Linked DNA regions of Drosophila melanogaster. The gene in region 2 interacts genetically with the main gene of each other region. Each region holds a gene or a part of one and is shown on either strand. Other genes may lie near its edges.

Region 1 (4,598 bases), 3.3 Mb from region 2:
ATCATCACGCGCAGCGAGGTAAGTACATCTATATATAATATCATTCAACCCTAAAATGTTGCAACGTTTTTCAGATTGATATGACGGACATTAAGGTAGCGTTCGAACGTCTGTACGGCAAGTCCCTCAAGAGCTGGATCAAGGTAAGATATATATATCTATCTATATCTATATTCTATAATCATATAAAATCCTACTTGCAGGGCGATACTTCGGGCCACTACAAGCACGCCCTTTATGCCCTGGTGGGTGAACAGCGCTCCTCTTAAGAATCTCCGCATATACATATATATGTATTATTCAAACCAAATCCGACGTGAAATCAATTATTCGAATATGTATTATCTCTTCTATGTATTCGTTCATTTAAATGCATACAACATACAAGAACACGCCAACGAAGCCAGACAATTATGATCCACAACGTAGACTATAAGTGCACACAAATAATACCTGAACGGGATCAGACATTTGATACCTCTTTCAAAGAAATGAACATGGGAACCGACAGTTGACAAGTGTTGAAGTTGTATTTTATTAAAAGACCTTTGTATTTAAATGCGTTCGTAAAGACAAATAATATGGAAGTTCCTCTCAAAAATCGCTTGTTAATTTGCTCGAAATGAAAAACCAAAAAATGAAAGAGTTGCTTATATCTTGACAAAGTGACCAGGGAAATGTTGCAATAAAAGCTATGCTTTCTAACTACCGACTTCGTCTCGACAGTGCCTCAATGTGACTATTGCCTAATTTGAAAAAAAGCATTTAAAACTGCAATGACATTTAAAACTACAATATACGCATATTGAAACGATGAATCGATTCGTATGCACTTATACACTATATATGTACACATACTCGTGTTTGTAAGCGGGTTTTTAACTTCCAGTTCGCTCTCAATGGAATAAATTATGTTTTATGTATGTGACAATCCGCAATTGGATTTTTTTTTTCTTATCGCTCCTGGTGGGTGGGATAGCGATGCTGCATGGGTTTTATTTTAGAACTCGAACCTCGATGAACATGGAATCGTTGCGAAGATAGTTGCGACTGGTGATTACCTTGTGTGGTATATGGAAGTACTGGTTGCTTTGGATAAAATCATCGCTCTTCTTGCGCACAAAGATGGTCTTCACATAATCCTCGGCATCTGCCACATTCGTGCACTGATCCCGGATGATGATCTCGGCCTGAAGGCGGCATGGCCAGGCCAGAAGGGGATCGTACTCTCCGGATAGAACGTTCAAGCAGGCGATCATGTTCCTGCCCTTCCAGGTGCCCTTGCCATTCAAGTATATATCCAGCTAGTAATGGGGTATACATATATAAATGGCATATCCAACCAAGATCCAACCTCAACTCACCCGTAGAGCATAGCCAAAGGCTTTATTGGAGAACATGGCGCTATGGAGGATGGTGTCGTACTGCTTGGACTCTTCCAGTTTTTTCGAGTAATCCTTGATGCGCCAAATCAAGTGTCCTGTACGACCAGATATTATATATTTAAATTACTATATTGAACCAACAATATGTACCCCTTATATTCTGGACACTGGCAATCCGCTGCTGCATGGCCATTTGGGTCTCCAAATCCGATATATTCTGCATGGTCTGGTGAAGTGCTCGATCCAATTTATCGCAACGTTCCTCCGTTTCGCACACAATGTTCTTCACATTCTTCACCTCATAGTCCAATGTGGCCTGCTTTGACGTCACATAGTCACTGTTGCCCAGCTTTGTTTTGATGTCCTCATTGATCTGCTGCAGAAACTCCTCGATCTGAAAGAACTTCTCCCTGTTGAGCCGCTCGTTCTCAAAGATCAGCTCCTCCAGCTTTAGGATATTGTCGTTTAGCTGATTCTGGTGATAGGTCACGTCCGCCGAGAGCTGATTGACCAGCTTTTGGGCCTCATCCAGCCTGGACTCCACTTGCTCTTTCAAGGACTTCGACGGAGATATGCACATTAAAGATAGATAGTATATATATATTTAAATAAAGTAGCATTAACTAACCTGTGTGATATCACAGCAGTACTGGACATCCAGCTGGTTCTGTTCGATGGCGAATGCCTTCCGATTGGTTTCCTCCTCCATCTGGCGACGCAGATCGTCCATTGCCTTCTCGGTTTCGCGGGTCCAGTCCTCGACGACCTGGTTCTGCTTCCGTATGTTGCCCACATCGGTAATGAGATGCAAACGCTGTCGTATCTCCTCGTTGAGAACGGACCGAATGGTGCCCACGTCCTGTTCAATGACCAGGAGACGCTGATCCGACTGCCTATCCAGGCGATCCATGCTGACACTCATGCGTTGCTGATTGCTCAGATTGTGCTGGTTGCGTGGACACTCCTTCAGATGGGATCGCATACGGATGCGTGGAATGAAGGCCTGACAGCCGTTGGGACACTCCTCCAGCACCTGGCCGCAGTGGATCAGGTGTTCCTGCAGTCGCATCCAAAGAGGAGTAATGTAATAGTAATCAAAGGTGAACTGAAAAGTTGGACGATTATAACCGTGAATGTCTGGGCATCGAACCATTCGTTGCAGAAGAGGCACGACGACTTCTCATACTTGACTATGGTCGTCGATTTGGGCTGATTCTGATTCTCATTCTGATTCTGATACTGATTCTGCTCGGTTAGATCCTTTCTCGACGACGACTTGGTCAGTGACATTATATTGATTAAAGGAAAGCAAATTCGATTGAAACTTTGGATCAGCAAATTCTCTGGCGCTGCGAGCACCGCCCTATGCACACTAAACTCAGCCAAAAATGATTAAGAATTTCCTTGGGCATAGTCATACGCGGCGCACACAGACATGGTTTAGATATAGCTTTGCACATGTGTTAGCATTAGGGCGTCCATGGGAATCTATACGACAACCTCGAACTGATAGCACTGCCATTTGGTGCGATTACCACTATTTCGAAATGCGAGAGCAACCAACGAATCGTATTGACCACTAACTTGGCGAACTACGACCAGGAAAACACAGCCACCGAGAATCCACTAAAATCGTAACCGTCACCAGATCTTCCAGCGACTATATGGCCACATATGTACCTGCAAAATGTTCATATCTCTAGCTCCCCTTGTACAAACATATTCGGAATGCGAGTGGAGATAACATTATCAATGAAAAACGGGCTTCACAATCAAAACTTTGTCCATTGCCTCGGCAATGCAAATGGTAACGACGCCATCAACTAGATAACAATGTGGTGGGCGGCAGTGATCGTGGGCGTGGCAGTGGGTATGGCCGAACCAACAGGTGCCCTACGTACACATATGTGGATCGGGATTGAAGTACATTTACTGACTCGCCGCCCTACTTTATGGTATCAAAAGTGGGGCAACGGCTAAACTGTGATAAAAACGGGCTATATACTTTCGTATATATTTTTAAACAATATCCGATGTAGGAAAAATATTAAATAAATCCTTTATTAATTAGATGTTTGTATCGTGTAGCTGTATTGAAACCCAGCATTTTCGTAAACGAACCATTTTTCCAAGTGTAGTTGCACTTGCTCTCAATAAGTCGCCGAGATTATGATAAAAATGTTATCAGCCTAAAATGTCGTACTTCCCAGTTGATTGCGAGTGTTAGCATACGATTTCAAGGTTCTCCATTTGGGAAGTTGAGATACTTTCCTACCTCTAAGGTGGTGGTCAGAAATCAAATCTATTGTTCAAACGTTTAACAAAAATTTGTTTATCTAACAAAAAAAAAAAAAATTGTATACATGAGGAAATAAATAAATTAGGGGTATAAAAACTATAGCCTAATCGACGATTACAAGTATGTGGACTCAAACTTCTCGCGCATCTTAAGTTTCCGTTGTTTTCCGGGAAAAATGCTGAAACTCTTTATGTTGAGCGCCCTCTGGAGCATTCGGATGGTATAGTCGGGTACCAGGCAGGCCACACAGGTCACTATGATCCACAGCCAGACTGGCAGTGAGGCCAACAGATTGTTGTAGGCCCAGTAGATGTCGGTGTCGTAGTCCCTGCAAATAATACATATACATATTAGTTTAAACCTTAAATGGATACATTCGTAGCCATGAACTCACAGATTGATAACGTTGTAGATAACCGTTGTGACTACAAAGCCCAAAATGGAAATGATAATGGTGAATATATACCAAAAGGACAGATACATTGACTCGAGCCAGAGCTTAAGGTTCACGACCACCACCACCGTCCACATGAGGAGGGTGCCGAAGCAGGAGAAGGCCACCGTCTGTCCGTAGTTCAGGAGAACGTTGTTGTAGTAGAAGAAGCAGAAGGCGAAGTAGAATATGATGACACTGTGGTAGATCGCAAATAGGACCCACATCAGGAAGTACGGCCAGTGGAGCTGCTTGTTGTCCGTGTTCTTCTTGTAAAGCTGTGGCGTTCTGTTCAAGTTGCATTTTTAGTAACATCAACATTATACATATAAACGATTGAACCCACTGTTACCTCATCAACTTCTCCTCGGTGTATGGCTTCTCGGAGATAGCTATGAACAAAATGGGCAGCGAGGTGTATATCACATTGTACAAGGTAAGGAATAGCGAATCGTAGACGGAGGATGAGGAGAACAGCGTG
Region 2 (7,241 bases):
ATGTACGCCTGTTCTATCCCGCCAATGTTCCGCCGGAGAAGTTCTACGGCACAGTGCGCAAAACCGTGACATTTGCGGAAGAGGAGCCCACGAGGTGGCCGGAGATAGAGCTGCAGGAGGTGCCCAGACCACAGCCCGTGCCCCAGGCCGATGCGTACGTAACCAATCAGTATGTGTCCATGAGCGCAATAGGCGCGCCCTGCGGCGATGGGTACATCAAGCCGCCACCCGTGCGCTGAAATCTCTCGGGAAGATTGCTGCCCGCTCTTGTTGTAGTTCGCCTGTAAATCTATATTCGAGAGGAGCCGCTAGTAACTAGCCCGGCTCAGCACCGAAGCCCACTGACCAGAAGCATACTCATTATTTAGTTAGTATTACAACCGTAGGGTTACGTTTGCCACCCATCTGCCATCCTATGAAGGATCTATTTATGTACATCGACACGCATGCGATCGGCATCACCACATACACATCGAACTAGCCGGGATTATGAGTTAGAAGATCGTTCTGCTCCAGCTAAACACTATTTTGTATATTTAATAAAAAAAAATCTTGTACAGACCGAATTACAAATAACCAAAGAATGCATATATGTATATATACATATATATGTATGTATGTACATGTACGTGCGGACAGAGAGGAGTATCCTGCGAACCCAGCCCGGGGATTGGTGTGCTCCAAACGCTCAGTGATTGGACGTGGCCGCCTTGCCGCCGTGCCACTTGTAGGAGCCGGAGTACTTGAAATTGTTCTCCTCGCACTTGCGGTCCGCCTCCTTGGGACCGCGCGATCCGTACTGGTAGGTGATTGGCCGAATGTGCTCCTTCTCGATCTGGTGCAGAATGGGCGTAAATATGCGCCACGCCTCGCGCAGCTCGTCCGAGCGGACGAAGTGCATCTGGGAGCCGCAGAAGACGTCGAGGATGAGACGCTCGTACGCGTCCGGCAGGTAGGAGTCCTTGTAGCGGTGCTCGTAGGTGAGGTCCAGCTCCGTCTCCTCGATGTCGAACGTGATGCCGGGGCTCTTGGTCATCATCTTAAAGTACAGGGCCTCGCCCGGCTGGACGCGGATGACCAGCTCGTTGCGCTTCGTATTGCCCTCGAAGATGTCGCCGGGCACGTCCTGGTACTGGATACGCACCTCCGCCTTGCGCTCGTTCAGCGCCTTGCCGCAGCGCAGGATGAAGGGCACTCCCTGCCAGCGCTCGTTGTTGATCTTGAGCACGCCGAGGGCGTAGGTGGGCGTGTTCGAATCGTTGCTAACGGTGGGGTCCTCCACGTAGCCCGTGCGCGCATCATCGTTTGTACCCTGCGGATTGCCCAGGTACTGGCCCAGCACCATGTCATCCAGCGTCAGGGCCTCGATGCTCTTCAGCACCTTGACCTTCTCGTCACGAATGTCGTCCGGGTGGCAGCTCACCGGCTTCTCCATGGCCACCAGCGAGAGGATCTGCAGCAGATGGTTCTGCATCACGTCGCGTATGATGCCGAACTCGTCGAAGTAGCCGCCACGACCCTGCGTGCCGAAGGGCTCCTTGAACGTGATCAGCACGGAGGCGATGTTCTCGCGGTTCCACGTCGAGCTGAGGATCTTGTTGCCGAAGCGTATGGTCATCAGGTTCTGCACCATCTCCTTGCCCAGGTAGTGATCGATGCGGTACAGCTGATCCTCCTGGAACAGACCGGCCAGATGGTCGCTCAGCGCCTGCGAGGAGGCGTCATCCCGGCCGAAAGGCTTCTCGATAATCACGCGGTTCCAACCGCTGCAAGCGAACGGGTTATAGGTGTACATAAGTATCGGGTTTCAAATTAAATGCATCTGGATCTTGATCTTGATCTTATACTCACCAGACCGACATGCAGATCTGCTTGATGTTGACAGTCACCTCCTCGAAGACGCTGGGCGGCAGGGCCAGATAGAAGATGCGGTTGGCCTTGTTCTTGTTCTCCATAATCTCCAGCTGCTGGTTAAGCAGCTCGAAGCCAGTGCGTCCGTCATATCTGCCGGACACGTACTCATTGAGGGCCCAGAACTCCTCGTACTTCTTCTGCTCGTGCGGCTGGACCTGTGTGGCAATGGGTTGGGTTAATGCGATGCAAATGGCCTATGACCAAATCCCGAACGCACCTTCATGTACGGCAGACACTGCTCCTTGATGCTATCGACGGTCAGCATGGAACGGGCATAGCCGCAGAACTTGGTCGGCTTGGGCAGCAGGTCATCGCGGTAGAGCCACCAGAGCGTGGGGTAGATCTTCTTCTTGGCCAGATCGCCCGACGCCCCAAAGATGACGAACGTGTGCGGAATCTTGCCGTCAAAGTGGGTTCCCTCGCAGACCATTGTAGGCGACTTGAGTGACTTGATTATGAGATCCAGGGCGGTGTGATCTGTGGGCACATATGAAAGGCGGATCTGGTTAGGCTTACTCTGGCTTTGAATTCCACTTAAGACTATTACTCTGTGGCTCTGTGGATATCCAGGAATTTCTACTTGTTTTTTTCACTAAGTAACTTTTTTCAACTGTCAAAACTTTATCAAAGGGAACTAAATGAACTAGAAATAGTTATAGCTTCCTTAAATGCATTGCTTTTACTGCTAAACTATAAAGTGAGAATGGTATAGGGGTTCTCTACTTCTTAGTTGTTAGTTGCACAGTGAGAAAAACAAAAAAAATGCTATCAGCTTTAGGATGTGCGGGAATTTTCAGTGACCTTGCCCTTTGGCTTGCATAGATCACCGGGGGACTCATCGACTCCGTATGGTTGGTGATTGGTTGGTCAGAATGAGCTGCGTGAGGACTCACCGAGGGCCTGGAGGCAACTGATGGTCTGGGCCCGAATGCAGACTATTTGAAGGCCTATTCAATGTCAAGGGAAGGGGGAGCGATAAGCACTCGATAAGACCGGGGTCCGTTGTCTAATCAACTCCGATCCGATCCGATCCGATTCGATTCGATTCGATTCGATTCGATCCCGATGACTGGCCAAAGAATCCGCCAGAGGTCAACCTCCGCAGCGGGCGCTAATTGATGCCCGGATAGCTGTGGGCTGGGCCAGGTGGAACTGGGTTAGGTGGCGGAAGCTTGGCCAGGTGTAAAAGGTGGAGCAGGTGCACGCGCGTATCTTCCGATGCGGTTGCACAAAACGAATAAATCGCCGCGCTGCGGTCGACTTTAACAAGGTGTAAGCGATGAACCCGGCAGCGACGTCGACGGCGAGGCGAACTTGGGCACAAAGTGCAAGCCAAGTGCTCCGGACGTATGTATGTACATACATCACTATTCACCGTATATCCAAACTTGGCTTCGGAACGGGCAGCATCAGTCGATCGCGTGGCGGGAATGCGATCGGTCGGATGATCAGATGAACCCACGATGGCATCACTTCCCGCACAGATCGGAAGAGATTACAGTGTTGTATGCTTAATGGATGATATATACTTGATCTGCTGCTATGTGATCTACTAGGGATACTGTTCTTGCAAACTAGTAACTAGCCTTTAGTAAACCTCTGTAGTATATCTCTAAAAATAACTACGAGTATGTAGATAGACTTTTTCAAAAGTTCAAAAATCTCAAAATCTTGAAAACCTAAAGCTCCCCGATTTTGAATGTGTGCACGTTCGTATCTTAGAGGTCATAGGAAAATCATTCGGAAAATGTTTCAAAAAGGTTGTGAGCCAATAATGGAGGCACTGTCGCGGTGTCATAACATAGATTTCGATATAATGAGCTTTTGGAAAATGAATGGAGGAGGGGCACTGCGTTCGTTTTTGAGAATCATTGTGTGTCGTTTAAAAAGGGTTGCGAGCCACTAATGCAGGCACTGTCACGGTGTCATAAAATATAGATTTCGATAATATGAGCTTCTGGAAACATCATGGGGCACTGCGTTCGTTTTTGAGAATCATTGTGAGTCGTTTAAATGTCGAAGTGGATGGGTCTCGGTGAATCACGTGATTCTACGGCGGGCTACCTGGGCTCTCCGAAGATATGAGTTGAGCTGGAATTTAACCCTAATTCCGAGGCCGATCTCTGCGAACGCCGGTAATGCATACTTTTCGGCTGTAGGAGCTTCGAAAGATTACACAGCCAGTGAGTTGGATGGTGCTGGTGGATGGATGGATGGTGACTAAGAGGCTAGCGAGCTCCTTCAAATGCCGAGATTGTGAGTCACAAGCCGACAGTGGTGTTTGCCTAGCAGGAACATAAATGACTTTAACCTTTTTTTTGAGTTTGCCATATGTCTTAATTTCCCGTTTGTTTTGCCTTGCTTGCTCAAGTCTTCGCATTTTTGCTTGACTCAGCTTGGTTTCACTTATCGAAGCTCGACTGTAATCTCGGCCGCATCGCATTTGACATTGACACAGACGAAGCGAAGGCATTGGGGCAAGGAGAATGGAGATTGGAGAATGGAGAGCAGCCGAATGTAGAGGGCGAGTGGAGAAGGGAGAAAGTAATAGGCGGTGAGCAAGGTAACGCGTTTGAATATTATTAACGCCAAGCGAGTTTGCATTTGTTGTCCGCTGTTGTTTTTGTTTTCTTTTTTTTTTTTTTGGTTTCTGTTTGGAAAGGCTTCTCGTGTAGAACGCAGGTGGGCAGCTAATTAACCGTGCGTAGAATGTACACATGCATGCGTTCCAATGTCATTGCCACAGAGTGGAGAACGGAGATTGGGGACTGGGGACTGGAGAGTTCGCGCTGCCGCCAAAGGTTATTGCTATTGCCGGGTTCTAATCTTGGAGCACGCAGCGAGTGTTTGTTTTAGCTGGCCGCTCGGATCCAAGCCCGTCCGATGGCCAAGAGCGGCGCCCACACGTCATCGCTCGGCTGGATGGGTAGTTGGGGGAGTGAGTAGTAGGCGTGGAGGAGTGAGAGTAAGAGTGACAGGTGGAGAGTGGCCAGTGGTAGTGGAGAGTGGAAGTATGAAAGTATGATAGAGAGCGGTGCGGGTGCGGGAGCGGAGCAGCGGTGTGGCCTCTCCTGTGATAAGAAGACAGTCGGCCGAGTCCGCGTCCTCTGCTTTTTGTAGGTGACCCCCAGTGCCAGGCGAAGAGCACATTTGAAGGGCGCACTGGCACGGGCACTGGCACTGGCACTGGCTCTCGCACTCGCAATCGGATTCCGATTGGAAAGCCAGTCCACCTGGCGCGACAGTGATCGCGGCAAGTACGCGCCCGAAAATCGAATTGGTAACAGTACGCGGTGTGGAATCCAATTCGATACCAATTGCCCAAAGCTGCGATACTCACCTTCCTTTTGCGTTGCCATCTTGACCCGAATGTGAATGGATTTTTCTGTTTAAAAGCAAAAGTGTGACAACTATGTATACGCAAGCCTTTCGATTCGGATTTCCAACTCGATATACGATTTCTCCAGTCGCTGGATTTTGAGCAACCTCTGCGGCTCTGGCTGTGTAATTACAAAGAGTTGCGGCGCTTTAATCGCACGCGCAGGTCGTCGTCGTCGGATTCACTAACTAGTAGCGCAAACGTAAAACAAAGCGAGTACGGGTACGGAGTCGCGAAGCCTCGGTGGAAGCGGTAGTAGTAATGAAGATAAGCACGATCGTTCCCTGACTGACTGAAGCGCGGCGCGAACCGCCGCAGCAAACAAACGCCCAAGCAAGCACTGCCAATGGCAACAACACCAACACACCAGCAACAACAGCTAAAGCAGCAGACGCTTTGTAACCCCGACTGCGCAGCTGATCGCAGACAGGAGCGGATTCAGTGCGCGCGGGGGCCCATTCGATCTGGATTTACATGTGAATGGAATTGATGGATAACACATAAATATACAAATAATACGATATCATAGTATAACATGGAAATAAAACTGTTTAATCTGAGAGCATTGATCTGATGCGTTGATGAGTTTAATGATGAAATTATGCTAGAATTATGATTCCCACATTACTAAACAACACCCTTACAATTTCTAATCCTACCTAGAATCACGTCGTATTTGGTCAGTGAAAACGAGCAAACGTCAACATTTCTTTTTAGAGTTTAAATCATTTATTATTATTCATTAGTCAGTAGGAATCGATCAGTTCCTTCTGAAGTTAACCTAATGTGTAGCTTAAAAGATATTATGGATTCTGTTCCTTAATTATAGTGTATACAAATGTACCGAGGAGAGATTATGCTATATTACGTGTAAGGAGTTCATGGGGATGTATTCTCTTCAGACATCGGAGGGAAATAGGGTCGACAAGATCATTCGCTAACGTGTTTAAGTGGGCGCTAAGTCTGTCGGCATATCGGCTGCTATGGAAGTTTATTTGGTACCCCAATGGGACACCTTTTAAGTCCCCTTCAATAACTCTATTGCTCACATACCACATGTAGCCCAGATGCATGTCGTGCCGCTCCCGATTGTCTTACTCTAATACTCTGTTCCCCACACTTGGATATGGCTTTTATTAAGAGAGCCTTAGTTGCCATATGGAGTTTGCTTGAGTGGAAAACCCAGTCCAGCTTTTTCAGTTTCCAGGAGCCGTGATAAGGGCTTTCCAACTCAGCGTCCGATCAAGGTGAACTCCGAGGTAGCAGTGGGATGAGACGTAATCAATGGTATTTCCGTCGAAGAGAAGACCTAGGCAGGTTTGAGGTCGCAGGGTAAATGTGACACAGGCCGTCAACAAGAAACCGGCATAAATTGGCGTGCACTTTTATTCCAATCCTTAGTGAACACAACTCCCCTGTTGTTTATTTTCTATTGCAAGCTAGCGCCCGTTGCGGGCCTTTGCCTTTGGTTTAAAACGCACAGCCCCAACCAAGGTCGGTCGGGTTTGCCCTGTCTGAACAATTGGTAAAACTGTGTAAAATTAAAAAACGCGGCCCCTGCCCGCGAGGGCCCAGACCGTTCCGCCCCTGTGTGGCTCTCTGGCGTGCATGCTCATTCACACAATCACGATGCGAGATTTCACTTTATGTGAATCGAATCCGAATCTGAGTCCGAATCGGACTCAAAGCCGGGCGAAGAGAGCGGCAGAGCGGCCGAACGGGAGAACGGGTCGGAGTCAGATGGTCGGCGCCTTCGCCAGCTGAGGGAAGCGAGAGCCTGTGATAAGACCCCCAGTCGACGGGCGAAATTACAAGGAATACGGACACGTACACATACTACTACAGGGGTTTTGGGGGGCAGCCGTGTGGAAATGGTCGTCATTGGTTGTGTGTTATATTCCAATTCATTAGCCAGTTGCTTGCATGTGTGGTGTTGATGTGGATTACG
Region 3 (4,963 bases), on a different chromosome or scaffold from region 2:
TCGGCACAGGTGACCAGCTCCAGGCTGCACTGGTACCACACATCCCCGGCCACTGCATCGTTCTTAAAAACCAGCGGCGAGCTCTGTTTTTAAGTTCATAATTGCTGACCAAATCCCGTCTGGAGAAGCTTGTAAATACACTTACTCTATAGGCAGTAGTAGTCACATTCCTGGCGTGCACCTCTCCAGCTGGACTTCCCAGTTCCAGGAAGTGACGTCTTCCGTCCCAATGATTGCATATATCCAGATCCCGGTAGCTACTGCTGGCGGGATACGCCTCTCCTGGCCAGCAGAGCAGGCAGATCACGTAGGCCAGCAGGTAGCCATAGCCCAATGCTTCGGCTAGCATCGATAGTTTCGTCCTTCTAACAGGATCCTGAGCCCCTTCCGCTTGAACCGTCTCGGTCTGGTGCCGCCAAGTGTTAGAACACAACTGTGGCCATTTCGCTGGCAAATCCAATAAACCCAGAGCCATCAGAAGCCGCACAAGTGGACCGGGCCTCGTAACGAGCCCACCCTCGACTGGGTTAAAGACCTCTCGAGTCCGGTATAAAAATACATTTATTTGAAATTTCTTTTCCGTTAGACGTTAAAGGGAAATCAGGGTTTTTTTTTGCGTCTCGCAGAGACAATGAAACAGTGGGAAACATGCATCGAGGACACGGATTTTTAGCCTAGGACATGCACATCTACAAAAACGAATGGAAATATTGTGAATATGGTGACGAGGACAAGGCATCGCTGAGTAGTTTTCTAGAGATGCGAGGCCTGCTGCTCGGACTGAGTGCCGGATAGTCATTTGGCAGCAACGGCATTCTTGGCCAGGGCACCCTCCAGGTTCTTGGCCAGCGTGTTAATGAACTCAAAAGTCTCCTGGTAGTCCCTGCGAGTAACGGCGTTGATGTTGCCTTTAATGCAGATGGCCAGATCCTTGGTCATGGCGCCGCTCTCAATTGTGTCGATGCACACCTGCTCAAGGGTGTCGGCGAACTGCTTCAGTGGCTCATTGTTGTCCAGCTTGGCACGATGCAGCAGGCCACGGGTCCAGGCGAATATCGAGGCAATGGGGTTGGTGGAGGTCTCCTTGCCCTGCTGGTAGAAGCGGAAGTGACGCGTCACCGTTCCGTGAGCGGCTTCAGCCTCCACGGTCTTGCCATCGGGGCATAGCAGCACGGAGGTCATCAGACCCAGAGATCCGTAGCCCTGGGCAACGGAGTCCGACTGCACATCACCGTCGTAGTTCTTGCAGGCCCACACGAAGCCACCCTCCGACTTCATGGCATAAGCAACCATATCGTCGATGAGACGGTGTTCATACCAGATGCCCGCCGCCTCGTACTCCTTCTTGTACTGCTTGTTGTACAGGTCCTCGAATATGTCCTTGAAGCGTCCATCGTACTTCTTCAGAATGGTGTTCTTGGTGCTCATGTACAGCGGCAGCTTGCGGTCCAGAGCATATTTGAAAGAGGCGTGGGCAAAGTCCACAATGGAATCGTCCGTGTTGAACATTCCCAGGGCAATACCGGGGCCCTTGAAGTCATTAATGACCTCATCGATCACCTGACCGTCGGTTCCCTTCCAGGTGAGGGTCAGCTTGCCGGGTCCGGGAACCACGTAGTCGACGGCCTTGTACTGATCGGCGTGGGCATGGCGACCGATCACAATAGGCTTCTGCCAGCCAGTCACCAGACGGGGCACGTTCTTGCAGATGATTGCCTCACGGAAGACGGTTCCTCCCAAGATGTTACGGATGGTACCGTTGGGCGACTTCCACATCTTCTTCAGGTTGAACTCCTCTACGCGCTTCTCGTCGGGAGTGATTGTGGCGCACTTGATGCCCACGTTGTACTTCTTGATGGCCTCAGCACAGTCAATGGTGACCTGGTCCTCGGTTTTATCGCGGTTCTCAATACCAAGATCGTAGGTATGCAGCTCAATGTCCAGGAAGGGCAGAATCAGTTGGCTCTTAATGGAGTCCCAAATGATGCGGGTCATCTCGTCACCGAGGACATCCACAACGGGACCGGCTTTGATCTTCTGGGCCATCTGTTCGGGAGAGCATACCACACTTGAGTGCTTGAAGGGCAGGATGGGAATCTTATTAGCTACATGAAAAATGGATTTGTGTCTGAATGCTGCGGTATTGGGGTATTCACCTCGCTCACGGCGGACATCCTTTCATTATCCATGGATATCTTATGGGTTTTGGGGTCCTAAGCACAGGCGATACAGGCGAAACTTATATGTATGACGATAATAAACTGACAACTGGTCAAAGCAAAGTAAACTTTGATCAGCCTGGGATAGGGTGGGTCGATATTGATGGATGGAAATTAAAATACACCGTGTTTCAAAAGTAATCCCTTATCTTTACTTTGTAATATTTAATATTTCGTCGTGACGACGTAATTATTAAGGTACTTGCCTAAAAGTTAATATCTCTACTTTGCATTCATAGGTTATAAATTTAAGAAAAAATTGTTCAATTTTTTTGTATAAACAGTAAATATAGTAATCCTATTTATCGGATGCTAGCAGCACAGGTGACTACGTGATTGTTTATAATCTTAATATTGAGACCGACTTCAAAAAATTCAAAATATCTTTTTCTCCTGCTCATCGACCCACCCTATTCCGAAATTTAGTAAGCAAAGAGATTTAGAGCGACAGAGGGCGAGGATACAAGGAGGACCTACCGCGGCGCTGATGGCGAAATTGGCCCGAAAAACGGCCTGGCTGAGATGCGGCTGCCGGTGGACCGACGTCATCATTGCGGCTGTGCGGCGCAGGGCGAACATTTTACAACCGGATTGGTGTGGATGTGGGTATTATTATTATGAATGAACCGACCGACGACTGGAAACGAGAGACGATAGTGTTTGTCACCAATGTGAAACAATACGAGACAATATGACACTGGAGTCCCGGGAAAGAGAACAATTTTCGGACAAAGCAAAATTAAATGCTGTGGGCGTCAGACGCGCTCTAACCGTAACTGATAACTGTAAAGTGCCGTTAAGCGCTACAGTTTCCGACTCTCTTGGGTGGCGTACAATCGTCAAATTGTTGCGCAATCGGCGTAATCACAACGTTCTAAATGCCCAGTCAGATAAGATTTAGAACCTCGGACTTTGATAAGCTGCTCTCACAACACTCGGCACACTTAAAAGCAAGTGTTTTAATTAATAATGTAACGAGAGTATAAAAAACAATAAGCACTCGGCGAACGCGTAAACATGTAATCGTTATCGCCGGCTGACTTGTCAATCGCTTTCGCATTGCGGGTGGCATTGTCCCTCTCTTCCGAATGACAACTGTTGCGTTTATCAGCTGGCGAAAAACTTTTCCACTATTGCGGGCTAGCCACTTTTATTTAAAGTTCACGGCCGACTTGTTTTGATAAGGAATACAAATTAGAAAAGCGCGTGGCATTAAGCTTATTTATTCAACTTCACCCGAATTCAAAATCAGCTGGTACGTGCGGTACTATCGATAACGATAGTCGAACTGACATGTTAAAGCTTAGATAATATTTGAACTTGGGCGCCAATCTTTTTTTTTTTTTGTTGCGAAGGAGGCTCGCTCTGATTATCTTGAAACGTCTACCATTCTTATCTACTCAGTCAATGCCATTTACTTCCAAATTAAAATAGCAATTGCGTGATGTTTTTTTGGATTTTTCTTCTCATATTTAATAGATCCATTGTCTGACTTTAATATAAATATCTCTAAGTCTTTATAGGTACATGTGTACCTAATTAACATATTGAGGTGGCGCGATCGCCGAACACGCCATAAGCTGAGGCCACGCCCACAATTATATATAATAACAATATTTATGCTTTCACCAAACGAATTTCACAAGCGTTTTTTTTTCTAGTCCAACTGGGAGAATTCGAACATAGTACGATATTGATAAGACTTGCGATTGGTAAATAAGCTGGTAATGACGGGGCGAATAAATTATCTAGATCTAATCTGATATTTTCTCATCTGGTGTTTTTCTAGTCCCAGAAATATTTATTGTTGAAATAAAAAGATTGCATGATGACTTTTGACCCTTGAACTTTATGAAACTGTTAATACAAAATTCGCTAGAAATAAAAAAGAAAACCTAATAAAATTATGGTTTTAATTTTTCGACTGACAAGTTAATAAAAGAGTCCATCTATCCTTATCAAATATAAGTTTACGATAATCTAATTATAGTAATTAATTGTATTCAGATCTGACTTCTAGTTTGATAAATGAAAAAAATAAACGTCGACTGTTTAAGTTGTTTAAGCACTCAAAACATAGGACAAACTTAGAAAGTTAAAAACATTTCCAAATTGTGCATGCAAAAGTCCCAATGAGATACGAGCTATCTGGAGGTTTTCTCGAACCATCTATTTGTAGATATGCATAGTAATTGTATAGGTTTAATTAAAACTGTCGACACGAATTCAAGATTAAACTTTGGACAGCACCTGGAGAATCAGGTGGATGTGAAAAGGCCTGTCGAATGGGTTACGTGTCTCTCTCTCTCCACATATATCCCCCTCTTTCACACTGTCGTCTCTTCACACTTTTTTTATCCGTATCTCTCTTTTTCGAGGAGGCAAACCGGTGCAAAGAAAAAAACAAAACAGCGGCAGACAAATAAAATGCATATGAAAACAGACCGGTGGGGAAAGTTCGGGCCCAAATAGGTTGGGCCAGAGGTTATGCATAAAGTTAAAATGCGCAACTTATTTGCATTAAGGAGGCTTGAATTGCGGCAAATTTACGTATTGCAACCGATCTGGAAATCCACCATTTTTTATTTGCTCAGATAAATTGCAAGTCAGCCTTTGAGTGCAGTAAATAGCTGGGCGGAATGCGATCGGAAGTGTGGGTGTTTGGCGTGGAGTGTGAACCGGTTTATATAAGGCTAAACAAATGCTCCACTTACCTTTTAGAATATTTAAAATGCCGAATTTAG
Region 4 (5,479 bases), about 15 Mb from region 2:
CATTGCAATAAAACCATAGCAGCAACAAATTACACGCAAATCAAATATTATGTGTATGTGTATATGTATTGTCCATCCACAGCAGCAAAGTATGCAACAAAAATTTTTGTAGAAACTGCAAGCAGTTTTTTTTTTTTTTTTTTTTTTTTTTTTATCGATGATGTTTTTATTATTTGATCAACGCACTGTTACCCATGCGGCAACTTAATTTGATCTGCTTAAATTATTTTATTTTACAATGTGTCTTGGTTACTTAAGACTAACAGATTTTTAATCCTAAAAAAGATAGGGAGAATTATAATAGTTGATATAACATAGTAATTATTATTTATTTGATTATTCTAATGAATTTTAAAACTAAGACTTTCTAGGTCAAAACCAGGTTAGGGAGGTCATGAGGGTGGTGTGCAAGCAGTAATAAAACAAAAAGGCGGAGAAAGTCGAAAGCAAAAGCAAAGACAAAATAAATAATTATCATCTTGTCGTTTATATAAGTGTGTGCTATGTGTTTCTCCGAATCGGATTTATGTTATATAAAACAGAAGAACAGTAACAATTTAAAGGCAAATTTCAAGGAATGAAAGCGAACAGTAATAAGAAACAAGGAAACCAAAAAGTAAATATATATATTCATGCAAGAAATACAAAATAAAGTAAACATTGGTGTAAATTAAGCAAGAACCTAAGTAAAACCTACTAAAAACAACCAAAAAAAATAAGAAGCTTAATACGTAATTTCCTGAAAACAACAGAAGACATATGCAGAAATCACACACATTTACCGTTACTTTTCACACACATACAGCACCTCTCTCTCTTTAGCTATTGCGTTTTAGATTATTGCTCAGCACGTTTTTGCGTAGACACAAAACTATTTATGCTAACGGTAAGATAGAACCTCCTCTCTCTCTCTCACCCACACACACACACACCTCCCCCACTTACACACACACAAGCACTCGCAAAAACAAGAAGACGAAGAGAAAAACTAAATTTTTTTCTTATAATCGGAATGCCGGATTTCTAACGGGAAAGGAAACAAAAACACAACAGGACTTCTAATAAGTGTTTATACATACAAATATATATATATATACATGTACATGTATACATATGAAACAAAACAAAAAACAAAGCAAAGCATAATTTTTTGTCATAATGCAAAATATTTGTGTGAGAAACCAATTTTTGATGTAACAGAAAAACGCGCGAAAAATTGAATATGTGTAACGGTAACAGAGCAAAAGATAGATAAAAGAAAGTAAAAAATTTATTTCATTCGCTTAGTTTTTCCCAAACGATCGATCCATTTCCTCATTTTCCGTTAGTAACTTTTAAACTCAAATCTTTTAGCTGCCATTTCTAAAGCAAAAAAAAAAAAATGAAACAACAAACCGAGAAACCAACAAATACAAAAACTAGTTTAAAATCTTAGTTTGTAAAGCGTTTATTTGAATTTAACTGTTTAATTCTACTTTACCTATTTCTATTTAACTGGTTTTTTGTGCAAGGAACAAACATTACTTAAGTTTTTGTAAGAGATTAGTGAATTATGTGAGCTGAGTGCGATATAGAGCAGTATTGCAATTGCAACTGCAATCGCAAATGTGGATTTATGGAGGCAATTTCAAGTAACAATACGAGTAAGAAATGAGAAAGCAAACAAAAACCAAATGAGATCTTCAATGTGAAATAAAAGTACTTCTTTGAAAACCCTCGTTTTATTTGGGCGGCAAAGTAATATAAAATGTGATTGAGTAAGTATTTATTCGAGTATTTCAATAACCGCCAAACACTACTATTATTTTGATATAACATTGTGTGACACATTATATAAAAGCTTATTGAATATTTTACGTAAACATTTATATTTCAAGTTATATTGAAAAAGAAAGTTCGATAAGCTAATTTAGTATTTTTTGAAAACAGGGAAAGCTGCAGTATTTTATTTAGGGTCACACTAATAGGCCAAGTGGTGCGTTATTTTTCGCTATAACGCCAAACGGTTGTTATAGTTGTGCAATATAGTAGTTGATAAACTAATCTCGCTACCTTTTTTTCCGATTGTTTAACTTACAACGACGCGCGGCGGTGCGACTGAGACACCAGATATATAGCGTGCGATTCTAGATCCGGACAATCCGCATATAGAAAGCCCCCATTCACATCCAATTTCTGTCAGTCGAACGAGAATAACACAGCGAAAATGTTGCGTACTCTGTCACGCGTTAGCGAATTGCCCATTATTGTTAAGCAACTGCAAAAAGTACGTAATCCCAATCCCGCTTTGCACCCACTAACATTTCTAATTGTTGTCACTAAAAATGCAATTGAACAAATCCATTCGATAATGAAAACACTAAAAGCGTTGCCATAACAACAACAACAACAACATCATCATCAGCGGATGTCGGATACTTAGCAACAACAACAACAACAGCAGCATCGATATCATCAGGAATGGGAGATATTCATCGTCGTTTTTCGGTTTATTCCAGAATGCAGCCCAAGCAGGTGTTTCGAAAACCAACAATTATGCCACGGAGGCCACCGTTCAAGTGAATCGGGTGCGTATTATAGCATTAAGTACTTGTAACTCAGGAAAATTCAAAAGTCGGAAGGGAAAAAATACGGTTACATAATGCGATTTTCGCCAGATAGCAAACGGTTTGCGTGTGTGTGTGTGTGTGTGTAAGTGCAGGGTTGCATTTTGCCGGTCAATCCGCTCATTTTCAAATGACAAGGTCACGCAGTAATTTGTAGTTTTCCGTCTCCCACGCTCTTTATCACCGTCTGCCTTTTGCGTGGCCGACGCGTGACTGTTCACGCACCATATAACATATAGTCTTATCAACGATCCGCCGATTTTCACCCTCTCTCTCTTTCTCTCCGTCTGTCTGTCTGGCTCTCTGTTTACGTCGATTCTCACGCCATAAATTAGCCGCCATAAATCCAAATTTGGTTTTTGGAGCATACTTCCGAAAATCCTCGATATGTGGTTATAGCTCTCTATAGATTAGTATACTTTGATTAGAGAAGCTTGAAGCCTATGGTTATTTGGTTTATCCAATCAAACTGCTATCATTTTATTACTTATCATGCGTTCCAAACGTTTCCGTTACGTTCTTATCAGATGTGTGTGTCAGTTGTTAATGTAAAAGTAGAAAACGTTTTTAAAATTAATGAAGTTTAGGGATCTAAATTCTAAATATGCTTTCCAACTTTGCAGCCCTTCAAGCTGCACCGCCTGGACGAAGGACCCGCCACGGAAGTGAAGCTGACCAAGGATCAGGCCCTCAAGTACTACACACAGATGCAGACGATCCGTCGGTTGGAGACGGCCGCCGGTAATCTGTACAAGGAGAAGATCATTCGCGGCTTCTGTCATCTGTATTCCGGCCAGGAGGCATGCGCCGTTGGCATGAAGGCGGCGATGCGGGATGTGGACAACATCATCTCGGCGTACCGTGTCCACGGATGGACCTACCTGATGGGCGTCTCACCCAGCGGCGTACTGGCTGAGCTCACCGGTGTCCAGGGTGGCTGTGCCCGCGGCAAGGGTGGCTCCATGCACATGTACGCACCGAACTTCTACGGAGGCAATGGCATCGTGGGTGCTCAAGTTCCTTTGGGTGCCGGCGTTGGCTTGGCCTGCAAGTACAAGGGCAATGGCGGCATGTGCCTGGCCCTCTACGGTGATGGTGCCGCCAATCAAGGACAGGTGTTCGAGGCTTACAACATGGCCTACCTGTGGAAACTGCCTGTGATCTTTGTCTGCGAGAACAACAACTACGGTGAGTGCTGTAGAAAGTGGAACAATGCTAAAAGATATTTACTTAAACCAAATGTTGTATAATTATACCCATTAGGAATGGGCACCAGTTCTGAGCGTGCTTCCTGCAACACTGATTACTATACCCGCGGCGACGCTCTGCCCGGAATCTGGGTGGACGGCATGGATGTGCTGGCCGTGCGCAGCGCCACCGAGTTCGCCATCAACTATGTGAACACTCACGGACCTTTGGTGATGGAGACGAACACGTACCGATACTCTGGACACTCCATGTCCGATCCGGGCACATCGTACCGCACACGCGAGGAGATCCAGGAGGTGCGCCAGAAGCGTGATCCCATCACCTCCTTCAAGGAGCTGTGCATCGAGCTGGGTCTGATTACCACCGATGAAGTTAAGGTGGGTTTGGCTTATAGGGTTTTATTTTTGTTATGAGTTATGATTGCTAAAAGAAAAAAACATCTTCCAGGCCATCGATCTGAAGGTACGCAAGGAGGTCGACGAGGCCACCGCCTTCGCCAAGTCCGATGCCGAGCTGGGCGTGAGCCACCTCTGGACGGACGTGTACTCCAACAATCTGGAGCCCAAGCTGCGCGGCACCATCGCCTACGATATTGATCACATCCAGGAGCGCAAGGGCGTCAATCACTAAGTCATCGGGCCAACGAATCTGATTCGGGAACTCACAAGAACCTTAAACGAAACAAGAAAACCGAACAGCAAACACAAATCACTGACAGACAGACAAGAAGACACAATAACTCAGAAACTTGGACACAAGCGAAATCTCTAGATCATAAGCCGAAAGTTGAACGATGAGAACCCCGTAGAACGGAACGGATCCGAAGAGACCCACAAAAAGCTTAGCTAATCGGAGCACTCCAACCACACATCGTAGCGCACCACATAACTCTGGGGTACTGCATTGGATATTATATTGCGAACGTGTTCAATAAGGATAAAGCGAGGTGTAAATTGTTGAAAATATAAAAATCTAGAAAAATTAATCCAAATTAGTTTTCTTAACAAAAGTGAATCAAGTATGTACTTTTGAAATGTGAAAATCTCAGTCTGTTTCACCTATACTTGCACTATAGAATTTTGATAGATTTATAAGATATTAATAAACGGAATAGATTTAATAGATAATTCGATTTGTGGAAGAATTACAGTTCGAATCAAAGTAGTATTTGAAAAGGAGCAGTTGTCAGCTCCATAAGCAATCCCAAAATCGTTATATTTCCTTCTCGTTCTGTTTAGTGACAGTTGCCATCTCTGTCGATTTGCTTATGATTTTACTGTCGATTTCTTTTCGGTTGAGTACAAATCCATTTTTCAACAATTTCCGATCATATTCAAAATTTTAGTGCGTGGCAATTGCCCATTTGGCTACAAGCTCATTTTAGTGCCCCGGTGTTTGGGAATTGGTATTCGGGCAAGGGCCAATGATGAAGTTCAGTTGTGTCCGCGTGGCGATGAGATGCAGTGGAGCCCACTCCATCCTCGAGAGAAATATGCTCTGCAGGATAATAGGGCGCCACAAATGTAGCTGTTTGACCCTGGAGAACGTAAGTGTTTTGATTATCACAAGAAGGTCAATGGATAAGTAAATACCATTGAAAAAAGCTATATCGTAAAAGTTATATTTTTCATTTTGAATTAAATTATGTACTCTGAAAAATGTTT

What was found.
Region 1: of Zw (region 2) and Traf-like, changing one suppresses a phenotype caused by changing the other (phenotypic suppression), as found in Drosophila melanogaster (one study listed by BioGRID).
Region 3: of Zw (region 2) and Idh, changing one enhances a phenotype caused by changing the other (phenotypic enhancement), as found in Drosophila melanogaster (one study listed by BioGRID).
Region 4: of Zw (region 2) and Pdha, changing one suppresses a phenotype caused by changing the other (phenotypic suppression), as found in Drosophila melanogaster (one study listed by BioGRID).

Annotation. Positions count from the first base shown.
Region 1 is NC_004354.4:16,413,501-16,418,098, reverse strand, and holds Traf-like (TNF-receptor-associated factor-like), read right to left. Parts: upstream 3,054-4,598; 5' UTR 2,676-3,053; coding exon 2,514-2,675; coding exon of another isoform or gene 2,443-2,513; coding exon 2,014-2,442; intron 1,945-2,013; coding exon 1,536-1,944; intron 1,481-1,535; coding exon 1,365-1,480; intron 1,305-1,364; coding exon 996-1,304; 3' UTR 514-995; downstream 1-513. Other genes in the region: AnxB11 (annexin B11), read left to right, coding at 1-18, 75-143, 204-269; CG4301 (uncharacterized protein), read right to left, coding at 3,799-4,012, 4,079-4,405, 4,470-4,598.
Region 2 is NC_004354.4:19,665,634-19,672,874, reverse strand, and holds Zw (zwischenferment), read right to left. Parts: upstream 5,624-7,241; 5' UTR 5,274-5,623; coding exon 5,255-5,273; exon of another isoform or gene 5,129-5,254; intron 3,154-5,128; exon of another isoform or gene 2,808-3,153; intron 2,536-2,807; exon of another isoform or gene 2,462-2,535; intron 2,392-2,461; coding exon 2,132-2,391; intron 2,070-2,131; coding exon 1,852-2,069; intron 1,767-1,851; coding exon 689-1,766; 3' UTR 522-688; downstream 1-521. Other genes in the region: et (eye transformer), read left to right, coding at 1-239. UniProt on the Drosophila melanogaster protein: Cytosolic glucose-6-phosphate dehydrogenase that catalyzes the first and rate-limiting step of the oxidative branch within the pentose phosphate pathway/shunt, an alternative route to glycolysis for the dissimilation of carbohydrates and a major source of reducing power and metabolic intermediates for fatty acid and nucleic acid biosynthetic processes.
Region 3 is NT_037436.4:8,355,860-8,360,822, forward strand, and holds Idh (isocitrate dehydrogenase), read right to left. Parts: upstream 3,082-4,963; 5' UTR 2,799-3,081; coding exon 2,697-2,798; intron 2,267-2,696; exon of another isoform or gene 2,214-2,266; coding exon 2,157-2,213; intron 2,077-2,156; coding exon 796-2,076; 3' UTR 545-795; downstream 1-544. Other genes in the region: Culd (CUB and LDLa domain), read right to left, coding at 1-83, 146-349.
Region 4 is NC_004354.4:4,700,326-4,705,804, forward strand, and holds Pdha (pyruvate dehydrogenase E1 alpha subunit), read left to right. Parts: upstream 1-1,999; 5' UTR 2,000-2,206; coding exon 2,207-2,266; exon of another isoform or gene 2,267-2,366; coding exon 2,367-2,567; intron 2,568-3,229; coding exon 3,230-3,794; intron 3,795-3,869; coding exon 3,870-4,192; intron 4,193-4,262; coding exon 4,263-4,445; 3' UTR 4,446-4,940; downstream 4,941-5,479. Other genes in the region: CG7024 (uncharacterized protein), read left to right, coding at 5,239-5,361.